Notamacropus eugenii: one gene and its partner. The protein of the gene in region 1 interacts with the protein of each later gene in a biochemical or structural test. Links are inferred from orthologs where the notes say so. Each region holds a gene or a part of one and is shown in the gene's direction. Other genes may lie near its edges.

Region 1 (11,566 bases):
GGAATCTGCTGGAGTCTCTATTTTAATCTCCTATATAATCAGGGGCAGAGCTAGCTGCCCGAGTAGACTGCTTATATAATGATCTGAAAAACAACACATGAATTCATTTAGCTCCAAATATTTTACCATCTCTAAAAGACCACATTAGAGTCATTTCTTTGGGTTTATACTCTTTCTCCAAAAGGTGACTGGTGTCAGATTAGACTGCAAACTCCTTGAGAATAAGGTACTCTTTTTTGGCCTTTCTTTGTAGCCCCAGTGCCTGGCATATAGTCATAATATCTGGAAAGGCAGGAAGGCTATTTTTCTCATTTATCTATGAGAAAAGAATGTTCACACAAACTCCATGTCCTTTTAGAAAAGAGAAAACTATACTTTCTAACCTGACATACAAGACAGGTAAGTTTTGACGAAAGCTTAAAAGAAAGAAAGGTAAAGACAATGGCATTAGAATGCTGCAGACGGAGCCCTTAATATCTAAAAGCTGTCTTTGTGAGTACAGCCATTTTCACAGAATTATAGAATCTCAGAGCCAAGCAGGGTCCTCAGAAGCCCTCTGGCCCAAATGGAGCAGCAGTCATCTCTCTGATATCCTGACAGGTGGTCACCCAAAGTCCTTCAGGAAAGAGGAACTTACTACTTCCCAAGGTAGCACACTCCCTATGCTTCTTGGAGCTGCCTTGCACCATCTTATCCAGAATTCTAAGTCTGCAAAGCTCCTCAGAGGCTGCCTGCACCTTTGCCCCCATCATCCAAGACAGGGCTTGAGCCTTGGGAGTTGTCTGTGGCCAACAGCTTCCGTTGAGCTCCGCTGCAAGGGCACAGTTGACATCATCAGCCAGACAGACTGCTCTTTCTTTCCCATCAAAGAGTGAGTCACTCCTGATTGGAGTCAAAGGGAGGAAATAACAGTGCATTAGTAAATGCCATGCCAATATCTGATTACCTGGCTTGGGGACTCAGGGGAAATGCAGGTCCTCAGTTGGGGGATTTCAGTGCTCCCATAGCTAAGTAAACAATCCCTGAGAAGTCAGGGATCTGAGTCTAGTCCTAGATACCAGCACAAGACTCACTGCATGACCTTGAACAAAACTGTTTACTTTATGGGGACTCAGTTTCCCTCTCTGTAAAATGGAGAGACTAGAAATGGTAGATCTGAAACTAAAATTTGTTTCCTAAGTCCCCAGGAACTAATTCATAGGCATATTGTGGAGACAGACAGAACTTTGTTAACTGTATGATGTTATAAAAATGTCAACCATTATTATTGCTGAGAAGCACTAGAATCAGGTAGTATCGTGGTTCCTGTGGATAAAGATGTTTGTCATTTGAATTGCCTTTAAAACCAGGTCCACACTGAGCCAATAAATCACTTCCTAAAATGAGTTTGCTCCCCCCTTCCAATGATATATACATATACGTACATACATACATACATAAACACACATATATTAACATCAGATTTACTCCATTTGAATGAACATTAGCATCCAGTTCCCTGGAAAACTCTTCAATTAACAAGAGTTTAATTTCCAACTCCTAGGATTTTCACTGGTTGGTCCCCCATACCTGGGATTCTCTCCCTGTTCATTTCAGTCTTTGGGTTTCTTTCATTTCTCACCTAAAATGCCACCTTTTGTAAAAAGCCTTTCCCAATTCCCCTTATTTAGTGACTTCCCAGGTACCATGGTTTCTCTAGGCTTCTCTGCATGCCTTCTGCAATCCTGGCTCAAGGTCACCATGGCCAGATACCTGGACCTGGTGGGGATGAGTGGGGTTTGGATTTGGAACAGGGACCATGCTCTACACTCTTAACCTGATCTCCTTTCCACCCCCAAGACCAAGGTGGTATGGGGGCATAGAGGGAATTATGCCTCCCATATGTTGGGGGGATAAGTTTATATATTTGTGATTATATTTTTTGAAGTGAATTTTTCTTTGTAAAAGCTTAAAAAAAAATCCAGTGCCTTCCTTCTGAGATTACTTCTAATTTATCCTTTCAATCTCTTGCTTGTACATGGTCTTTGGCACATTTTTTTCTCCTATTAGACAGAGGGCTCCTTGAGAGTATGAACTAGTTTTTGCTTTTCTGTGTGTTCCCAGGGCTCCTGGCACATTGTAGTCCCTTAGTAAATGCTTGTTAACTGACTGACTGTCTGACTGGGATCCATAATATGAGTAAGAATATAAAGTCTCCTCAAGAGCCAATTAATTGGGGTCCGAAATTAAATGGATTTTTTTTTGGCTTCTTCTCTTCAGGGGAAAGTAGGAAATGCCATTCATTCATCCAACAAATATTTATTTTGTCCAGGAAACAATCTGAGGTCAGTGAGTAATTAAAAACAAATAAACAAAAATACCTTTCCGGGAATACACTGAGTTCAGTGCTGATTCAGCCCAGTTTCTTACATCTTTATCCCCTTTCCTCATGAAGACTGAGGTCCTACAAGATTCTCCTTCAGAAAACAGAACTTCACTCATGTTCAAAACACTGAGTTTTGCTGAGACACAAAAATGACTTGGCATCGTAGAAGGGAATTCAACAACACAGGTTAGAACACAGAGGGTTTCTGGAGGCATCCTCAGTTAACGGGAAAACTCAATGCACCAACATTCCCTAGGCATTTCTGGTAATGTCAGTTGTTTTATTATTGGGCAGTTCCAAGGCCAGTATTTGGAAAGGCAGAACTACAATGCATTGAGCAAGAATCGAGCCAGTCAATCACTGTGGGGCAGGAGCCAACTACCAACATACTACTCAGGAGGTTTGACTTCTTTTCAGTACATTTTGAATGGTCACAAACCTGAGTCTTACATGCTTTACTCCCAGATGTGGAGTTCTCCATCAATGGATTCAGGGTCAGAGGTCTTGGATTCAAATCTCAACTCTGCTACTTATTATCTCCACCATCTGGGCAAAACTACAACTTCTGGACTTCTTTTTCCTCCACTGTAAAATTTAGGGGTTGAAAAGAACACTGGTTCTGACCCAGATTCAAATTATTCCTCTGGTGCTTACCTGTATCTTCCTGGGTAAGTTACAGCCTCACTGGCTTCTCTGTAAAATAAGGGGATTGGATTGGATGACCTCTCAAGTCCCTCCCAGCATCACCTCTGGCTCTCTGAGCCTCTGTCTAGGTCTCAACGATTTCTAATGTTCCCTTCTGGCTCTAAATCCTAAGACTGTGGTTACCTACCATTTCTGTTCATAGAGTTCTGCAGTTCTTCTGGGTCACTGCCAGCAGAGAGGACACAAGTTTGACTGAGGTTAGTCAGTTGAAAACCTCAGAGTCCAATGGTCAGAAATAAATGTCATTGACTTGTCTGGCTCCCCAGGGCTGTGAAGATTACGAAAAGTCCTTGAGACTGTTACCCAGGGACTGGTATTTCCAATGACTGCCCTGGGTGTGCATGAACAAGCAGATGTGGAGAGATTGTGGACAGACTCAGCATAACATCCTGGGTCACTTATCTTCCTAGAGGTTGGTTATCAGCCTGCAGTAAGGAAATATACCCAAGACAATGATCTTCACTGCAGATAAGAACAAGAAGCTGTCTGAACTTTCCTATCTTAGCAGGACCAACAAAGAAGAGAGGAAAATAACAGATTGGAGCAGGCTACCAACTTGTTGAGAGGCTGTTTGATTTAGCTCCTTATCAACCTACCAGCCGGAGTCTCAAACAAAAAAATGTCACCACCATCCTCTTCTAGAATTGTGAGGCTTATAATGACCGTGGAGAGAAAGTGGTATGGAGCAAAGAGCAGAGGCTGCTTTTGACATGTTCTCAAGCAAAAAGGGCTTTCCCTTCCTGATCCTCAGTTTCCTTTACTGTAAAGTAAGTTGGGCTGGTCGATATCTAAAGCCTCGTTTAGCCTGAACATTCTAAGACCAAGGTCTTCCACTACATCTGGTGCCTTCTCCAGTTGTCCTGATCTATATCCTGCCACCGGACTCCAATGACTCTGGAGGATAGAGTGAGGCAGGGGACGTTGCCCAGCCCTGCCCCACTTCAATCCAATTCACTTGCAAGCCCTGGCATTACCTCCCCCATGTCATGGTCCTCTTCAAGAACGAAGGACTAACAATAATCTCGAAGGCATGTACAAAAAGGCCAGCTCTAACCATTCTCCAGGCCAATGAATGACCTCCCTTACCACAGACTGGGGAGAAAAGGATGAAGAAGGACTTGGGACAAGAAGGCAGAGAAGCCCTGATGTGGCTGGTAGCCCCAGGTCAGAGTCTGGGGGAAGGAGTTATAGCTGTAAACAAAACTTCCACCAATTTTATTCTTTCCCAATTAGATTATAAGTTTGTAGAGGGTCTGGACTATGTTTTCCTTTGGTTTCTTCCCCAGCACAAAGCACCCAGCCTCATCAATAGTAAATACTTAAGAAATGTCTCTTGAACAATGAGTTAATGATCAATGGATAAAGAGCTTATTATGTGCCAGGCACTGCTTTAAGCATTGGAAATATAAAAGAAGAAAAAGAGAATAAAAATGAATAAATTCAAAATAATGTTAATTAACCAACTGGTGAGACAGAAAAAGTGATAAAATGGAAGAAGTCAAGAGATTAGGAATTTAGGAGGCTTGGATTCCCTATTCCAGTTTGGTCACTGACTGTCTGGTAGTGTGACTCCATGATCTGGCAAAGCCCATTAGCCTCTCTGTGTCTCAGTTACCTAACTGGTTAAATGAGGGACAGCCTTAGTCCTGATACTATTGTCTATTTACTGAGCACTTGATGGGTGCAGGACAAAACTGAAGTTCAAAGTCTTGAATCTCACCTGTTTAGAATGTGGAGCACAAAATCTTAGATGGCATTAAAAAAATAGGTAAAAAACATTATCCAGATATCTATATCTATCTATAATTATCTTTATAGATATCATATATCACCACTTACCTTGGTAGTGTACTTTCCAGGGATGTACACATTGATAATGAAGTTGATGCATGCATTGCCAGGGCTAGCTCAGTGTTTGGGAGAGAAGAGGTATTAGACTGACTACCAAACTGAAGGTCTACAGAGCTGTTGTGTTGACCTCATTGTTATATGCCTGTGAAACATGAACAGTCTACCAGTGCCATGCCAGGAAACTGAATCGCTTCCATTTGAACTGTCTTAGGAAGATTCTGAGGCTCACCTGGCAGGATAAGGTACCTGACACTGAAGTCCTTGCTCTAGCTGAACTGCCAAGCACTCAAACCATACCTCAAAGAGCACAACTCTGATGGGCTGGCCACGTTATTCAAATGCAAAATGTATGCTTGCCAAAAGACTATTTTATGGAGAACGCGCATGGGGCAGGCGATCATATGGTGTTCAGAAGAAACGATACAAGGACTCTCTCAAGGTCTCTCTCAAGAACTTTGGATTTGACTGTGCAACATGGGAGACTACTCAGCATGGCGTGCCCACATCAGAAAGGGTGCTGTGCTCTATGAGCAAAGCAGAATTGAGACAGCACAAAGGAAACGTAGGATGCACAAATTTGGAGTAACCACCCCAAATGTTCACACGGATTGTCTGTGCTCAACCTGTGGTAGAGCATTCTGAGCTCATATTGGTCTGATCAGCCACAGTTGTACACACTGAAATTTCACTTTATCATGGCCTCGCTGAGAACGAAGGACAACCAACCATATATCTATATATCTATATGTCTATGGATCTATATGTAATTTTCCAAACACTTTATACATCTTGCTACCTTTCCTCTTCGTTGGGGGCAGACCCTTCTAGATTCTGGCTAACGTCCTGGTTTCCTAACCCCGCAAACAGATAGAGAGTAGACAACTGAAATTCCATCTCTTTCACCCAAACTTCTGATAAATTGGGAAATGGACTGATTCACGTTTCCTTTCTTCTCTTTGCCTTTTAGAAGGGACTTGAGTCCTGACCAAAGCAGCATTTTCTCTCAGATTGGCAGTGAACAAAGCTGAACTCGGGAGCTGGAAAACCTTGAATTAAAATAATTTCCCAAATCTTACCATCGGTTGGACCCTGGTCAAGTCACTTCCTTTTCTGTGCCTCAGTTTCCTCCCCAGTAAAATGGGGATAGTCATAGTACCTGCCTCTCAGGATGGATGCCAGGGTCAGGTGAGATATTTGTAAATATCTTAGAGAGGGCTACGAAAGCTAGCTATTGTAAGAGCCTGGAAGTCTAGATTCTGGGGTTTTCTGAGCAAGAGCCGATTGTTAAATGTTCAGAGTGGGGATTGTCATTTACTGGTTTTGTGTGTTGTCTAGACTTAAGAAAGGGATGGAGAAAATGCAAATAAAGCAGAATGAACTTAAATGAATAGTAATAAAATAAGACAAAAACGAGTCCACCCCTCCCCAAAGAAAAGCCACTTGTTAAGACTTTTAGCAGCACCACCACGATGCAGGAGACCCAGGAGCCTCCAGAAGCGAAAGCGCTTGGAGCAGGTGCCTTGGAGTGGGGGCGGGGCAGCTTGCGGGAGAGTCCAGGGAGGTTCTCTGCCCCCCACCCCCATCGCAGGGCAGGAGGACCTAGGTTGTCATGTTCGTAGATGCACACATAAAGTTTTTTTTGGAATGTTGACTCAAGCCGCTGCGCGACGTGGCAGCCATCTTGGGAGAGGCACCGAGTGACGCCAGTCAAAGGAGTAAGCCGGAGGGAAGCCACCACAACCCTGACTCGGCATTCCTTCTCTTTCCTTCCTTTCCTCAGTTTATTAAAGGAAAACTTGAGAAGAACCCGCTGTTCTCTAGGTCCGCTTAAGGCGCCGCCATCTTGAATGTGGCATCACCCTTTCTCCCCGTAACCTTTCCCCCGCGCCGCTCGGCCGCCCCCCATTCGCCGGGGGCGACGGCCCCCCCCGTGGCTCCGCCCCTCATTTAAATACGTGGCGGCGCCCGGTACGTCGAGGCTGCCGCGGACCCAAGATGGCGGCGTGTGGACGTGTACGGAGGATGTTCGCCTTGTCCGCGGCTCTGCCGCTGCTTCTGCTCTTGGCGGCCCGGGCCCAGCGGCTCCAGAACCCCCCGAACCCCCAGAACCTGGCAGTCCTCCACCAGCCTCCGGGGCTGGGCCACAGGCCCTACGCCGAGGCCCCGGAGCAGCCGGCTCAGGCGCACGCTCAGCAGCCGCCCCAGCAGCCGCAGGCGCCGCAGCCGCCCCAGCCCCAGCAGGCGCAGCAGCAGTTCTTCCCTGCCGGAGCGGGGCCGGCCCGGCGGGGCGGCGCGGGGCCCGGCGGCGGCTGGAAGCTGGCGGAGGAGGAGACGTGTCGGGAGGACGTGACCCGGGTGTGCCCCAAGCACACCTGGAGCAACAACCTGGCGGTGCTCGAGTGTCTGCAGGACGTGCGGGAGGTGAGCGCCCGCCCGCGGGGAGGGGCGGGGGGCCGGGCCCGGGCCCACGCGCGTCCGCCGGCCGCCTGCCTGTGCCCCGGGCCCGGGCGGGGGGCCTCGTCCGCTCCTCCGCGCCCCCTCCCCCGTGACAGCTCGGGGGAGACCCCGGGAAGCGGCGCGGCCGCTCATTGGTGCGCGCGGTGCGGGGGCTGGGCCGGGACCCCGTAGCCGGTGCGGTGGGGACACCGAGGCCGGCGGGGTGGGCGCCTTTGCCCGGGACCCATCCCAGCCGGCGGCGAAGGCAGGGCCCGGGGCACTTGGTTCCGGGGCGCGTTGGGGGTGAGCATTGTGTGGAAGGGCTCTGGGTGCGCTGCCCACGAGCACGGTAACTTTGTGCTGCCCCTAAAAGGGAAGCACGTGGGGTTCGCCTCGGAGGGTGCCCGTCGACCCCCGGTAATCTTGGGGCGGCCTCCCTCTCTGGCGTCCACATGTGGTTCTGGCTGTCCGACGGTCGCTTGGCGATGGCCGGGCGGCCCGTGATCGGTGCGATTGAATCAGCCCGTACGGAGAGTTTCCTCTTTCCTGCAGAGGTCACGATGCGCTTAGCAGTGACTGTTTACTGGAGGCCCCGGGAGCAGGGGCGCTAGCTTGGGTCGGGGCCGGTGGGGAGGCAGGAGAGCGCGCCCCGATAAATGGGGGTGTCTGATCCCCTACTGTGCGCTATCCGGAGGAGAGGCCCCTGACTGACTCCTCTGTGCCTGGGGCAGTGCTGGGACTGTGACCCGTGGGTGCCCTGCCTTACGGAGGAGGTGCCCTTTTCTGGGAGGGGAGGATGCAGACACAAACGAAATCACAGGTCCAGCTTAAAAAAACACGGGTTTTTTTGACCAACAGCTTTAGAGAAAGGAAATTTATTCCTAGATAAATTTTGTCTTTCTCCAACAGTTTAAGTTTAGAGTTTTATAAGAAGGATAAAAAAGTTTCCTTTTATGTAGCACTTTGACGGTTACAGAATACATTGCACATGTTTTCCTTTGATCTTGGTAACGTTTGGCATTTGCTGTGATTTTTTTTCCCCTTTCGCTTTTCGGGGATTGTTTTTGTTTAGAGTCGCTGCGAGCGAGTAATGGAGCTGCAGAGGTTTGGAGACTGGTGGAGCAATTCAATGGACTTGAGATTTTCATTGATCCTCTGGTCTGCTCCCTTAGGATTCTTGGAATTTTTCGTTAGCCATGAGATGTGTAGCCGGTTTTCCTCAAGCTGATCTGCACTCTGCGATTTCCATCTCGCTTAATGGTATTTGCTGTTGCTGCTCCGCGTGGTCAGGGGATTTTGTGTGTATGTGCTCTCGGGGAAGGCAGACCCTTTCTGTCTAGCTTTAGATCTTCCTCCCCACCCTGGGCGTGCTAATCCCGTACATGGCCAGTATTGCCAGGACTTGTGGTTTGGTTGGTGTGGGAACTTCCTCCACCAAAGCAGATTGCAGTCTGTTTATAACTTTGACCGTCTTAGAGTTGCGTGAGGCTGTGGTGATCCCACTGCTGACAGGGAGAGGGGGGTGTTTGAGCTGAAGTTTGGGGCCTCCCAGGCCAGCAGTGTCTATACTGCTTTACGTGATATGCAGTAGGAATGTTTAAAACCCAGCAGTCGCTGTTATAATCCCTGTTAGCCGTGCTGGTGGAGGGCAGGCTATTTATATGGGACTAATTATAGGATCTGTTAAAGAGGCACAGTAAGTGAAATCCTGCTTTAAGTGGAAAGAATCCCAGACAAGGATTCCTGGTCCCTGGTAGGCTATCAGCTCATTTGGTGACAGGACAAAAAAAGGTTGGATGTGACTTCATTTTGTTCCTCTTACAGAAGTGGTATGAGCTGTCCAAAGGAAGTTACTAGATAAAGCTTTCATTTATAATAATTCACTAGACCATGGAGAACAGCACTTTATACACAGAAGATGCTTAGTAAGTGCTGTTGATTGACTGATGAGGATCCATGAAATAGTGTGGAAATAGATGTCTTCTAAATTGAAGCTGCTTTAGTTGAGAAAACATGAACAGCCTGCCTTCTGTTTTCTTTTGAAGTCTTCAACATGGAATCTTATTTAATGTGACTCTGGAATTTATCAACTCTGGTCGATACATCTGAAAGATAGCAACTTGGTTAAGGACATGTACTTTAGATGAAATGTAAAATTATGAACAGAGTGAAATGGAGATTTTTTTGTGAATAGGAACATTTGGCAAAGAACCTGATAGCATTTTTAATTCCTTTGAACTTAAATCTAGAGGAAGTTTTTTTTTTAATTCTTATGAGAATTATGAGGTAGAGGTGCTGAATCCATAGAGTATTTAAATCTAAAAGAATGCACACTGTTTTCTTTTGATTCTAAGCATGATAAGTTGTCCGGTTAAGTCTTAAGTTTAAACAGTTTTTTAGTTTGTCTTTTTCCTAGTGGGATGTTAAAATTTATGTTGTTTATATTTCTAGATATACTTAAAGGTAATGATTAATACCATGTATTAATTACTTCTGTGCGTCCACGCAGTTACTTAAAACTGCCTGGTGATGTGTGTGGCAGTACATTTTGAAATCTGTACATGAACAGTTTGAAGCTGTGCTTAATGTTCAGTAAGAATTGTTTAGTTTATGGCTTTTTCATAGCTTCTGTTTTGAAAGTTTTAAAAGTGTGTTAAGTGGGAATCTTTTTAAGACTTTCTCAGATGAGTAATATTTTTAAAGCAGTTTAATTCACCAAAGGGTCAGTCAGTTAAATGATAATGATAATGACAGTGATGACTGATTGGTAGCTTTGGAAAGTGAAGACTTCTTTTCAAAGCATGGTCATAAAGAATAAAGTGCAAATTTCCTTCCTGCTATATATGAGAGGGCATTAGAGATTGAGTCCTTCTTGCACAGGAAAGAGTTTCTCTCTGAGAAGTTAGTTGGGCAGCTGGCTAGGGGTGCCACAGTACATAGAGCACCAGGCCTGGAGTCAGGACAAACTTAGTTCAAACCACAAATTCACATTATGTTGTATTGTGTTTTTATTTTCTTAAATATTTCCTTTAACTGGGTGATTTTTGCCTGGCTGAAAGTGTGATGCCTTTGTTCTAACTCTCTTGTGGTCTTTAGTTCATTCTAAGGTTCAGGGCCTCTGCAGCCTGTTGTCTAGTTCCCAAGAACTGTGTTCAGAGTGCATATTCAGTAGTTTATAATAATCACAGTTCACCTGTATATGCTGCCTTAAGGTTTACAAAGCACTTTTCCTCATAGACTGATGAGCTAGAGATCACAGGTGCCATCCCACTTTGCAGATGATCAGTTGAGGCTAGAGAGGCAGACTTGTGCAGTGTCACCACAGAATTGGTTTCCACCTCCATCCTTTTGCACCAACGCCTCCTAGGTCTGGAATGCCCAGAGGCAGCTTTTGTCACCACTGCCTTTTCTGTCCTTAGCTTCCTTCCACACTAAGATTTGTGACTTCTCCTTTCTCAAATCCTTTCCTCATCTGGCTCATTGTTCTCTGCCCCTGTCCAGATAATTTTGCTTTATTGATTCGCAGGTTTTATCAGGCTCCTGAAGAATGCACACTCCCTGGTGCCCGGACTGTTTTTTTTTTTTGTTTTTTGTTTTATTTTCATATTCCTATTGCCCTGAAAACAATAGTACCCTTCTTAGATGTTTGTGACAGCTGGGACTTGAACCCAGATCTCCTGACAGTCAGGTGCTCTCTCCACTGTTTCACCTAGAATTGAACATAAATTAATGGATTAGTCCTAAACCAAGAATATGCGCAAAACAAGAAGACTCTGTCAGACTCCTTCTACATCTGCTTAATTTACATAAAATAGAGCTGCTTTTTCAACCTCTGCTTCTCCAAAGAGAACTGGAAGATGAGACAGCTGGGATGTGGGAAGCAGCTGGACCAATTGTGGGCCAATTGCTGGAGGGACATACATGGGGCCTTTAACAGTTGGGTCACAGGCAGCTAGAGAATCCTTGTCTGCCTGGTCTTCCCCACCAGGATCAGCAGTCTGTAATAATAACCATAGCTGGCATTTGCATGGCAGTTTAAAGTTTGCAAAGTGCTTTACTTCATTTGCAGCTCACCACGCCTCTTTGAGGTAGTTTTTACAGGTATTGCTTTCCATTTTTATAGATGAGGAAACTGAGACTCTAAGAGGTAAGGGATTTGCTCATGATGAAAAAAATAAACATTTACTACATTCTGGGCACTGTGCTGTT
Region 2 (11,952 bases), on another chromosome or scaffold:
TTGTCTTGGTACATAATGAGCACTATACAAATGTTAGATATTATTATTATATTTTATAATTTTATTATTATTAGATATTATTCCTATTACTTAGTTGCATAATTTTATATTAATATTCAGCCTAAATGCTTCATTCTAGAGAATAATAGACATCTCTGGACCAGAGATCAAAGGTCAAATATTTATCAGGAGAGATATGATATAATTGATCCAACTTAAAAGGAAGGTCATAGACTCTTAGAATGTTGGAGATGGAATAACCCAAGAGATCATCTAATCCAAACAACTCATTTTATGCATTTTATACAAACTGAGACTCAGAGAGGTGAAGATATTTGGTTAAGATAAAACAATAAATTTTTGATGGAAGCAGGACTATTGTATCATGCTGCCCCTTACTAATCAGTGTGCTCAGAGATTTGGAGATAATACTTTCATTATTTAATGACTAAGATCATGATTCAATTCAACTAAACACTCATTTATTAACTGCCTACTGTGTAACTGGTTGGCACAGAGCTGGACTTGTAACCAAGAAGCCCTGAGTTCAAATCATGCCTCAGACAGTTCATAGTTGTATGATCCTGGGCAAGTCATTTAATTTCTCTCAGCCTTAGTTTTATTCTGTGTAAAATGGAGATAATGACAGTACCCACCTCACAGTGCTGCTGTGAGAATCAAATGATATAAAATGCATCCAACCCTTTGCGAGCACTAAAAGTTGGCTGTTATATAAGTGGTATCAGTTCAAAGCACTGTGAGAAATGCTCAGGATACAAAGACAAAATTATGTAGTTGCTAACTTCAAGGAGCCTACATGACTATTCTTTTGGAAACTTGCATTTTATGGGGACATACAATATGGACCTGTGTAAATAAATATGAAGTCTGCTAAAAACTGTACAAAGTATTTGCAGGAGGGAGAAAGCAGTAATAATGTAGAAGTTGGCACCCGAGCTCTGTTTTAAGGGAAACTAAGATTTTTGTGAGGGAGAGGTGATGAGAGAACCACTGGTACAAAGGCATAGAAGTGGGAGATGGAATTCTGTGTCTAGGGAATAACTAACTAATAGTTGGTTTGCCTAGAAAGTGTGTTTGTCCTTCGTTGCTGAAGAGGACCATGCCATCAGAGAAATGATGACATGGCTTGCACTTGACTTTGTTTTGAGTGAGGGAGGGCTGTGCAGGTCACCAGCCTCACTTCTCTTCCAGAACATCTGAATCCAGTGACCAGACATTCATCAGGATGACTGGAGATGACTCAGGATGAGGCAATTGGGATTAAATGACTTGCCCAAGGTCACAGAGCTAATGAGTGTCAAGTGTCTGAGGTGAGATTTGAACTCAGGTACTCCTGATTCCTGCACTGGTGCTTTATCCACTGCGTCACCTAGCTGCCCCTACCTAGAAAGAAGACTTCCATAAAGGTGAATAATAAGAAATAAGTTTGAAAAAGTGAATGGGAGCCAAACTGTGGATGACTTTAAACATTTTACTGAGAAGTTTGTATTATATACTAGAGACCAAAGAAAATCAGTGAAAAATTTTGAGTAGAAGGCCTACATGTTTGATTCTATTTTTTAAGAGTATTGATTTGGCAACTGTATGGAGGACGGATTGGAAAAGGGAGAAAATGGAGGCAGAGAGACTAATAAGGAATCCGTTGAATAGTCAGGTGAGGAGTGATGAGGTCATGAATTAGAATGACTGTTATATGGTCAAAGAGAAGCAAATAGCCAAGGTGACCACAGTCATCATTATCACTCACGTGAAGGCTTACAAAAGTTGGCTTTTGCTCCTTGCACTTGACACTACCACTTACAGTAGGGCTGCCTTTCTTTCTTTAGCACTTTCTTTTAATTACTTGTTTTCTTTGTGATTAATTAAAGACACAGTAGGGTTAAAAGTAACTTAACGGGAAAGGTTTATTTTTTTTCTCATGAAATATCTAGAAATGAGATATTAATAGAACAGGAGGAGCTATTCTCTGGCCTGAAAACAGGCAGGCAAAACAGCCAAGGAAAACAAACAGGGGACTGATCTCAGCCACAGGGATTTTTTCCCCCTCAAAGACGACAATCTGGAAGCATTCAGGAAAAGTCCTGTAAATTAACCAACCTTCCTTATGTGGAAACACCTTCCGTTGTGGGAATTTACTGGGGCAACTCCTATGTTGTAGATGTATCCACTACTTTAGGCAGTCCAGTAGAGCTGAAACATAAGGAGGAAGTCTCAAGATAAGGGTCTGCCAGGGAGAAAGAAAGGAAAGTCATTAAAATGGTGAGACTGAGAATCATAAGGCAGCCTAAAAAAAAAGAGTATTGGGGGGAATTCCAGAGTTTTACAGTGTCAGGGAAGAGATGAAAAGAATCTACATGCCACGTGATAAGTGAATGGCAGGCCACTTCACTTTTTGTGTGTCATTTGCCTTATAATTCCCTTTTCTTTTTGCTGGAAAAATAATTCCTTGCCTCTTATAAACCATTGTGAAGATTCAAAACACTTATTTTCCCTAAGAGATAGTGAGCCATCAGAAGGCAAGTGACAGTGCTACTTTCAGCAGTCACAGGAAGTAATGAACACGAATTACCAAGTTATCACTGTTTGCAGGAATATGGTTAGAGAAGGTACCCGGTATCATCACGTTCATTTATTCACTCATTCATTTATTCATTCCTTTCACAATCAACCAACAAGCACTTAGGTAAGCATCTGCTGGAGCTGCAAAGTGAAAAATGAAGCAGTCCCTGCCACCAAGGATTTTGTACTCTCTTAGAGGAAGCAGCATACAACTTGGGTCTCCTCTCCTCTTCTTTCAGTGGAATTTCCTCGAATACTCTTTTTTTTAGGCTGCTTTATGATTCTCAGTCTCACCATTTTAATGACTTCCCTTTCTTTCTCCCTGGCAGACCCCTATCTTGAGACTTCCAGCTTATGTTTCAGCACTACTGGACTGCCTAAAGTAATGGATACCTCTACAACATAGGAGCTGCCCCAGTAAAGTCCTATAGTCAGGAAGACTCACCCTTGTGAATTTAAATCTAGCCTCAGACACTTCTTAGCTGTGTGACCCTGGGCAAGTCACTTAACCTTGTGTACCTCAGTTTCCTTATCTATAAACTAAGTTGGAGAAAAAAATGACAAACCACTCTACTATCTTTGCCAAGAAAATATCAAATGGTGACATGAAGAGTTGGACACAATTGAAATGACTGAACAAAAAATTTACGTTTCATATATAAAGAAAAGACAATGTCTGAAGTATAAAAAGACCTGAGTTCAAGTCGTACCTGTGACAAATTCTGGCTGTGTGATCCAGGTAGGGCATTTAACTTCTATGTACTCCAGAACTATCTAGGTTGCAGATCAAGGTGCTGAACTACATTGACACAAATTTTCTCAACTGGGTGAATGAAATTACAAGTCCAGTTCTTACCTCTATGTTAACAAACATTTACCGAGTTAATAAGTGAATGGCAGGGCAGTTCACTTTTTGTGTGTCATTTTCCTTATAATTCCCTTTAAGTTAGACACTGCGTAAACAAAGAGAAAATGAAAAGCAGTTCTTGACCTCAAGGAGGGCGTTCTACTGAAGAATAAAACATTTAAACAGATAAATCCAAGGCTTCTCCTGAGAAGTGACAATGGGTTGGGATTTGAAGGAAGCTAAATATTCTCATTGATGGAAAGATGGGGTCATTTCTACCTTCCTTCAAAAGAAGGAGTAGAAACACTAAAACAACTGGGAGTTAATATTAAATCAGAAAGTCGAAGGGAACTATTTATTCCCTACCAGATTTTCTACTAATTCAAGGTAGGCATTGGTGGCATCTTGATGCAAGGTGACCTGCAGGTTCTGGGAACTATTCTGACCTTAGATTTTGGTCAAATTTAATGCTTACTTTCCTTCCTTTTGGCAAATACAAGCTTTGAGTAGCTGATATATAGCTTCAAGCAGCATCTGATCTGGCAGATACGACAATAACATCTAACACTAAATCCAAGTCCATATAAAAGTCATCCCTGAATGATTCATGATCCCTATGAATACAATCTCTTACCCTGAAAATTCCTTTGTTTTTAAACTTCTCCCCATAAGTCACTTTCTATCCACTGTAGCCCCTGCTGTGCCATGGTGCCCTCTGCTGTAACCTAGTAGCTAAAGCAGCTGATACCTTAAGGTTCCCTCATTACAAAAAGTACCATAGGATCATTCATAGGTTTGCAGCTAAGAAGGATCTCAAAGGTCAACTAGTCTCACTTCCTAATTTTATAGATGAGGTTAATCAATTTTTTGAAGGCCACATAGGTTTATAGAATCATAGATTAAGGGCTAGAAGAGACTACAGAGTGCATCTAATTTAGCTCCTTTACTTTTACAGATAAGGAAACTGAGGCTCAGAGATATCAGGTGCCTTGCTCAAGGTCACCTAGGTTGTAAGTTGCAAAGCCAGGATTTGAGCCAAGATCCTCTTACTCCATAACCACTACTTTGTTTCTTAGGGTCCCCTAGCCTGGGGACTAGGAAAGACACCTGAGATCTTGAGAAACCATTCCTGATTTAATCACTGAGCTCTGAACATAGCCCTCTCATAGCTCCCTGTACCTATATTGTCTCAATTAGGGTTGCAACAAAGGGGAAAGAATAGACATTTACTCATTAGAAAGATAGAAAATGTTTATATCAGTTCTCTTTGTGGTGACAAAGAACTGGAAATTACAGGGATACCCATCAATTGGGGAGTGGCTAAACAAGCTGTGGCATATGATTGAGATGAAATACTACTGTGCTAAAAGATGATGAGCGCAATGATTTTAGAAAAACATGGAAAGACTTGCACGAAATAATAAAGAACAAAATAATTAGAACCAAGTAACAGAAATATTGTTTTAAGAATTATTTTGGGTGAATAAGTTATGTTTACTATAAATCCATAAATGAACTATAAAGAACATATGAAGAAAAATGCTGTATGGATCCAGAGGAAGAACTGATAAATAGAAGTATGTATAGAATAATTTTACATATAAATGCATACACACACGCACATTTTTATATATATATATATGTATATATATATATATATATATGTATATATATATGTATATATATATATATATGTATATATATATATATACACATATACACCTCTATTTGTGTCTAGTGGTAGCCATTTCAGGGGGGAGGGAAGAAAAATAGAAATTTTCATGATAATTTTGTTGTACACTTGAAAGGAATAGTAAATTGTACATAGCAGATTTGCAGCTTCATGCGCAATCATCTTTTTAAAAATTACTCTATGTTATTTCACAAATTAAAAATAAAACTTTGAAAAAGAAAGACAGATGGGATATTAGAACCAGCTCAGGACCTGACAGGGGTAGAGACTTGGGTGTGAATCCCACTTCTAGCATTTTTTTTTAAACTTTGTGACCATAAGCAAGTTACTCTATGTCTGTGAGCCTCAGTTTTCTCATCTGTATGATAGGGATAATTAATACCTGTGATAGTTCCCTTAGTGGGTTATTGTGAGGATCTAATTAAAATATACTGATGAAGTTCCTTGCAAACTTTAAAGAGTGGCACAGATGTCAGCTGTTACTAGCGTCAACATGCTGAAAATCAAAGAACAGGAATGGAGAGTACCTGGAAGTGTGTTTAGATGTATAATGCTTGTAAGAGTCTGGATATAGGACACTTTTTGATGCTGTCTTCTGTTTTGTAAGATTTTTTTTTGTACTTGCCTTTATTATACACATATAATAAAAGAGTACTGTTTTTTGTTATCCGTTTTAGTGCTTGTTTATAGACATACATTAGATATGCACTTTTTAGAGTTTTCAGAAAGACACTGCTCCTTAAAAACCCTTGAATTGGTGAGGTAGACAAAGAAAAGTAGATTTTGTTGGCAAAGTAGAGATAGCTGCTGATTCGAAAATCTCAGCTGGTCAGTCCCATTTGTCAGTCCCAAACTGGTCTGTATTTGCCTGTGTTTAGGAAGAATGGCTGTGTGTTATTTCTAATTCTAGAACTTACTTATTAGGCTATAGCAAATCATAGAATATATAAAACACATCAAAGGAATGGTAGAATGTAGGAGGGGTGGCAAACCTTGGGGAAGGAGTTTATTATCAGCACGGGATTGGTAATATTGTGGACAATCCCCGGAATCTTTCTTTCTTGGGAAATTCCCCACTTTCTAACTTGGTGACATCCTCCTATTATTCAACCATTGGGTCATGGAATTCCATAGGAAGTGCTGCCTTTAAAAGGACTCGCAAGCCCAGGGTGTGCTACAGTTCTTGACAGGCTACAGCCAGAGTGGGAAAGAGCTAGCTCAGTGTGAACAGCAAGACACCACTTGAGGAAATCGGGAGAGGAGATTACCAGATTGTGGAACGGTAAGTACAATTGACTATTAACTAAACCCTGTTCAGGATTCATTATAGGACCAAGATTCTGGATGGAGAAGGTAATCGGCCAACTTCTCCCAGGCGGATTTGTGTAATTTTCAGAGAAGCTAAAAGTCCAGCTTTCTCTCTGGTGCTGGATGTAAATTCAGAATCCAGTTTTTGATAACTTGTTGGAGGCTTTAAGGCTTTGCCTTTGAAGAATAACATGTAAAGCAATGTCTATCAATCTCATGGTTTCGTGGTTCTTTAGAGTCAACATCTTACCATATTTTCAAGAGGCATATTCTTTTATAATATTAAGGATAATGGGATAGCATAAGGTAGTGGATGGAGTGCTGGACTTGGAGTCAGGCTGGATTGGAACCCTGCCTCAAATACTTATTAGCTGTGTGACCCTGGACAAGCCCCCAGGAGTCTCAGTTTCCTCACCCATAAAATAGTGATTAAAAACAGAATCTACCCCTAGAGGGTTTCTGTGAGAAGCACATGGGATTATATATGTAAATCACATTAGAAACCTTAAAGAGATTTTAAAATGTCAATTTCATTTTAAAAATAAATTCTTTTCTTTTCTTTTTCTCCCAAAGAATTATTCCAACGCTAATACTGTGAAGAAAAGGATGGTTTCCAAAATGATGACTGTCTTGTCATTTCTACCTGGTCTCATCTTTGGTAAGATCATATTTGCTTGAGAAAACTGTTATCACTAATTAAAATGGGATAAAAAAACTCCTTTTGTATAGGGATACCCTCTGTAATGTCATTACTTGGTTCTGGGAAAATGTGATATTAGATCAAATGATATTACAGTGGGAAGCTGAGAAAAATTGCCTGGTGCCAAGGCACTGGGCAGAATTTCTAGGAATGAGGAGTCTTTGCTAATCTCTTTTCCACTCCTAGAAGGGTAACAAAAGTTCAGGTCACCCCAAAATCCCCAGGAAAATTCCATATTGATTCCTAAGCTTGCCCAACCATATGGGTATTATTTCAAGGGCAAAAACCCCAAACAAACCTATAAAATGAGGGAAAATATCTGTCAAAAGAACAGTATACTCACAGGATAAAACTATACCATTTCTTTTTTCTAGCATTTCTTCTGTTTGAAAGGAGTGATGCTTGGCTGTATGCCTCTTCTGAAGTGAATATGACTTATGAAATGGCAAGGAAATATTGCCAGGAAAGGTATACAGACCTGGTTGCCATTCAAAACAAGCATGAAATTGAATACCTGAATAGAACACTAAGATTCTCCCCAAGTTACTACTGGATTGGAATCAGAAAAATCAATGGTGTCTGGACCTGGGTAGGGACACAGAAGTCACTGACCGAAGAGGCCATGAACTGGGCTCCTGGTGAACCCAACAATAAGCAAAATAATGAGGACTGCGTGGAGATCTATATCAAGAGGAGCAAAGACTCAGGCATGTGGAATGATGAAAGGTGCACAAAAGAGAAGCTGGCCTTGTGTTATACAGGTATGATGAATTAGTTGGAAGAGATATTGGTAGAGTGAATGAGAGTAATACTTGAATAATAGCTATTAAAAATTCTAAAGAGTTTTAAGGTTTGCAAAGTACCTTATACATATCATTTCATTTGACCCTGAAGTACCTCCCTCAAAAGTTTCCTATGCTGAAAGAATGAGCTAATGTATGTAAATCTATTTGTAACTCTAAGTCTTAGGTGGTGCATTGGATGGAGTGGTGGCCCTACTATTAAGAAGACCTGAATTCAAATATGGCTTCAGGCACTTCCTAGCTATGTGACCCTGGGCAAGTCACCTCTCTCATCCTGTTTCTTCCTCTGAAAAATGGGGATAAAAATAGGACCTCCAATAATAGCACTTCTCAGGTTTGTTGAGAGGATAAAATGAGATTATATTTGATCTTTGCACACCTTAATGCACTATAGAAATGCAAGCTAGTGTCCTCCTCTTCCTCATTGCTTTCATTATCACTATCATCACCACAGTGTGTGCATGTGTGTGTATGTGTGTGTTTATGTATGAAGTGATGGTCACTGAGGTGGAGATATGTGTGTATCTGGTGCATTGAGTATCAATGTTCAGAGCCAGTGAGGAAATATAGTACCTTCGTTTTGGAAAATGGTCCTCTGCAATAGTGAACACCACCTTATGTGATTTTTTTGGTCTGAAATATATTAAAAATGAGATTCGGGAAAGGGGAACCTAAAAAATGTCAGTCTGCCCTCTTGACAGGCCCTTAAGCTAAAATAAAAAGCCCAGCAGGCCAACAGGATTTGGGTCCTCTAAACAGCCCTCCTTTAGCAAGCATTCTGATGATTCATATGAAGGACCTATGGCAGCAGCAGTGATGATCCTTTTGGTTTCAGCCTCCTGTAACAGCAACTCCTGCAATGGCCATGGGGAGTGTGTGGAGACCATCAACAGCTTTACTTGTCAGTGCTACCCAGGGTTCACCGGGTCTCAGTGTGAGCATGGTAAGACTGGCTCTGCCTAATCCATGTGCTCAATTCTTTCAACCTCACCTCATCCTCCTTCCTGTCTTTGGAGCGTGGTCTCCATCATATCACTTTCCCTCTTATATCAAAACGAAGAATGAGTCAGACTGATTTTGTTTTCTATCATAGTTGTGACCTGTGAATCTCGGGCCAATCCTGAGCATGGCGTTCTGGTTTGCAGTGATCCAGTGGGGTATTTCAATTCTTCCTGCTCTGTCAGTTGTGAAGAAGGCTATGTTCCAACCAATGCTAACTCTGTGCAGTGTACTTCTTCTGGAAAATGGAGCAGACCTAGCCCTACTTGTAAAGGTATTTCACTTTTCTTTGGTATAGAAAGTTTGGGGCCTCATTCCAGAATCCCTGTTTCTTATCCCACCTAGATTATTTTAGAAACCCTTTAAGAGCATAGCTCACTCTGTCTTCAGATATATACAGTCAACTCAGGAGTCAGAGTAATGCATGATAGGCCTTTGGCTTTTGAAAGGTGTACTGTATTCTATTTGAATAGGAATGATCCCCATGTTGTGGTTGTAGAATATTTGGGACAACAACAGAAATAAAACAACACTTCTTCTCCAGTCACTTCCTTTCGTTACGTATCCAACCTACTCCTCCATACTGGGAATAGATTATTTCATCTTTAGACTGATATAAAATGTTAGCTTAAAAACAAAGCCAATATTTCTACACATTTATTGGTTTGCCTCAGGGATAATTTCAATTTGACTTAGAATTCCTTCTCTTACAGTTCCTTTTGGGCTTGAGAAAATCAAGGTTCACTTTATGTTAGCAAAGTACAGGGACTTTGAATTGATAATTCTCAATGTAGATAATCAGAAATCACATATGAAAGGTTTAGTGTACTGTCCTCAAGACTCTTATTTTAGGGACTTGTAGGACTGTCCAAGTCCAACACAGAAGAACTATGCTGTTCTGTCAAATTCATGGTCTCACTTCTCATTTTTAGTGGTGGAGTGTGATGCACTGACAAGTCCTGCTCATGGATCCATGAATTGCTCCCAAAGTTCTGGAATCTTTCCATGGAATACAACCTGTGTGTTTGGCTGTGAGTCAGGATTTGAGCTAAAGGGATCCAAGAAGCTTCATTGTAGCTCATCTGGGAAGTGGGACATGGAGAGACCAACGTGTCAAGGTAAGATGTCTTAAAATCAAGAGGCAATTGAAAGGGTTGGTTCTGTAATGTATTATTAAAGGGGTCAAAGAGAAGGCTAATGGGAATGATGTGTGTGTGCTTTTCTGTGTGCTTCAGCAGTGAAATGTAATGCTCCCAGCCAGCCCCACCATGGCTTTGTGAAGTGTGTCCATCCGCCCACTGGAGACTTTACCTACCAGTCAGTTTGTAATTTCAGCTGTGAGGAAGGCTTTGAGCCAAAAGGATCATCCCTGCTCGAGTGTACGGCTCAGGGGCAGTGGACACAGAAATTCCCAACCTGTGAAGGTAGGACCAAATTTCTTTTAACATGATAACATGACAGGTTGAGTAGCTTGAAATGAAGCCAGGCACCTACTTGAACTTCTGAGATCAGATTCAGTGGGCACTGTGAGCCCCACTTGTGTTTAAACCAGTTAATTAGCTCTAGGTATAAAGCTGGTCTAACCAATTTCCCCCCAAGCAGTCACAGAGCATCAAATAGTTGTTCTTCACCATTGAAGAGTAGCTTATTCAAATGAGCTTGTGCTCCATTATTGGCTACATGCAAACATCACAAGATTGGTTCCTATTTAGAATGTCATAGGTACATGCCAATAAGAGCTATGTCTTATATAAGTTGGAAGATGGGGATAATAAGATAGAAGAGGCAGCAACATTAATGTGATAGAAATAATAGTCTCTGAGATCCTGCCCAGCTCTTGATTTTAAAATTTATGAAGTGTTTCTGTCACAATACTAGGCACAGAGTAGACACTCAAGTACATGTTGAGTGTAAATGCATATTTACATATTTTCCAATAGAAGGACAGAGACCCTGAAACCTAGCAAGTCATATAAGAATTAGCAAACTCATCCTGGAGTGCCAGAGGTATCCAGAAAGAAGTGTTTGTTTCAGAGTCATGCAGGCAAACAATCAGGACCCTTGGTAAAACTTCAAAGTAAGCAAAAGTTCTCTTTGGTGTCCACCCACCTCCCACAATGAGCTCTTCTCTCCCTCCTACCACTACCTCCCTCAGTCTCTCCAGGTTCCTAGATCCCCAGTGCTTCCCTTTGATTGTCCAAAGTCTCCTCCCCTTCCCATCCCTAGCTTTCCCAGTATATCAGAGGAACAACAAATCCCACTTCTGAGAGGTTGGTATCTGCGCCTGCCCAGAATTAACCTTATTGAATGGATGAAGGAAGAGAAGGGGAGAAATAAAAATTAATTCTCTCATGCATTCAAGGAGAGGAAAGAATGCAGATTTAACACTAAAATGCTGCTACATCTTCAGACCACTTTTTAGGTCCCTCATCAAGCTGTTTTGTTCTATAACTCCTCCCCAATTACTCATAAATCCTGATGAAATAGCATGGTATACCCAAAGAACCCTGGATTTGGAGGGACAGTTGAAAACTGTCTCTTCCACTAGCTCCATGCATGACCTGGGCCCAATTACTGAATATCTCTGGGTCTGGAATCCCCTGTCTACAGAATGAAGGATGAGGCCATCTCTGAAATCTGTTAATTTGAATGCTATGATCCATGATCTAGAGGTAGCTTCTTGTTTACCTTTGTTTTTCATGGAATGGGTCAGAGTTCACTCATCAAAGTGCGAATACTGCCATGTTGTTTTGCAATCCTGACTGAGTATTCTACTTGTGTCTCTTTAGCAATACAGTGTAAAGCACCCACCAGGCCAGAGAGAGGCCACATGGAATGCCTTCCTAGTCTTTCTGGAAGTTTCCAGAGTGGCTCCAGCTGTGAGTTCTCCTGTGAGGAGGGATTTATGTTGAAAGGATCCAAGAGACTTCAGTGTAACTTAACAGGACAATGGGACATGGAGGAGCCCACGTGTGAAGGTAGTTTTTAAAAATCCAAGCTTCCCCCTCCTACCCACTCAAAA

What was found.
Region 2: the proteins of GLG1 (region 1) and SELE form a complex in vitro, tested with the Homo sapiens proteins (2 studies listed by BioGRID and IntAct). The link is inferred for Notamacropus eugenii from reciprocal best matches to the Homo sapiens genes GLG1 and SELE.

What each region holds. Positions count from the first base shown.
Region 1 is NC_092872.1:713,602,566-713,614,131, forward strand, and holds the start of GLG1 (Golgi apparatus protein 1), read left to right. Parts: upstream 1-6,886; 5' UTR 6,887-6,916; coding exon 6,917-7,342; intron 7,343-11,566. UniProt on the Homo sapiens protein: Binds fibroblast growth factor and E-selectin (cell-adhesion lectin on endothelial cells mediating the binding of neutrophils).
Region 2 is NC_092873.1:476,660,739-476,672,690, forward strand, and holds the start of SELE (E-selectin), read left to right. Parts: upstream 1-6,289; 5' UTR 6,290-6,402; intron 6,403-7,001; 5' UTR 7,002-7,034; coding exon 7,035-7,086; intron 7,087-7,502; coding exon 7,503-7,889; intron 7,890-8,766; coding exon 8,767-8,874; intron 8,875-9,024; coding exon 9,025-9,204; intron 9,205-9,862; coding exon 9,863-10,048; intron 10,049-10,165; coding exon 10,166-10,354; intron 10,355-11,719; coding exon 11,720-11,908; intron 11,909-11,952. UniProt on the Homo sapiens protein: Cell-surface glycoprotein having a role in immunoadhesion. Mediates in the adhesion of blood neutrophils in cytokine-activated endothelium through interaction with SELPLG/PSGL1. May have a role in capillary morphogenesis.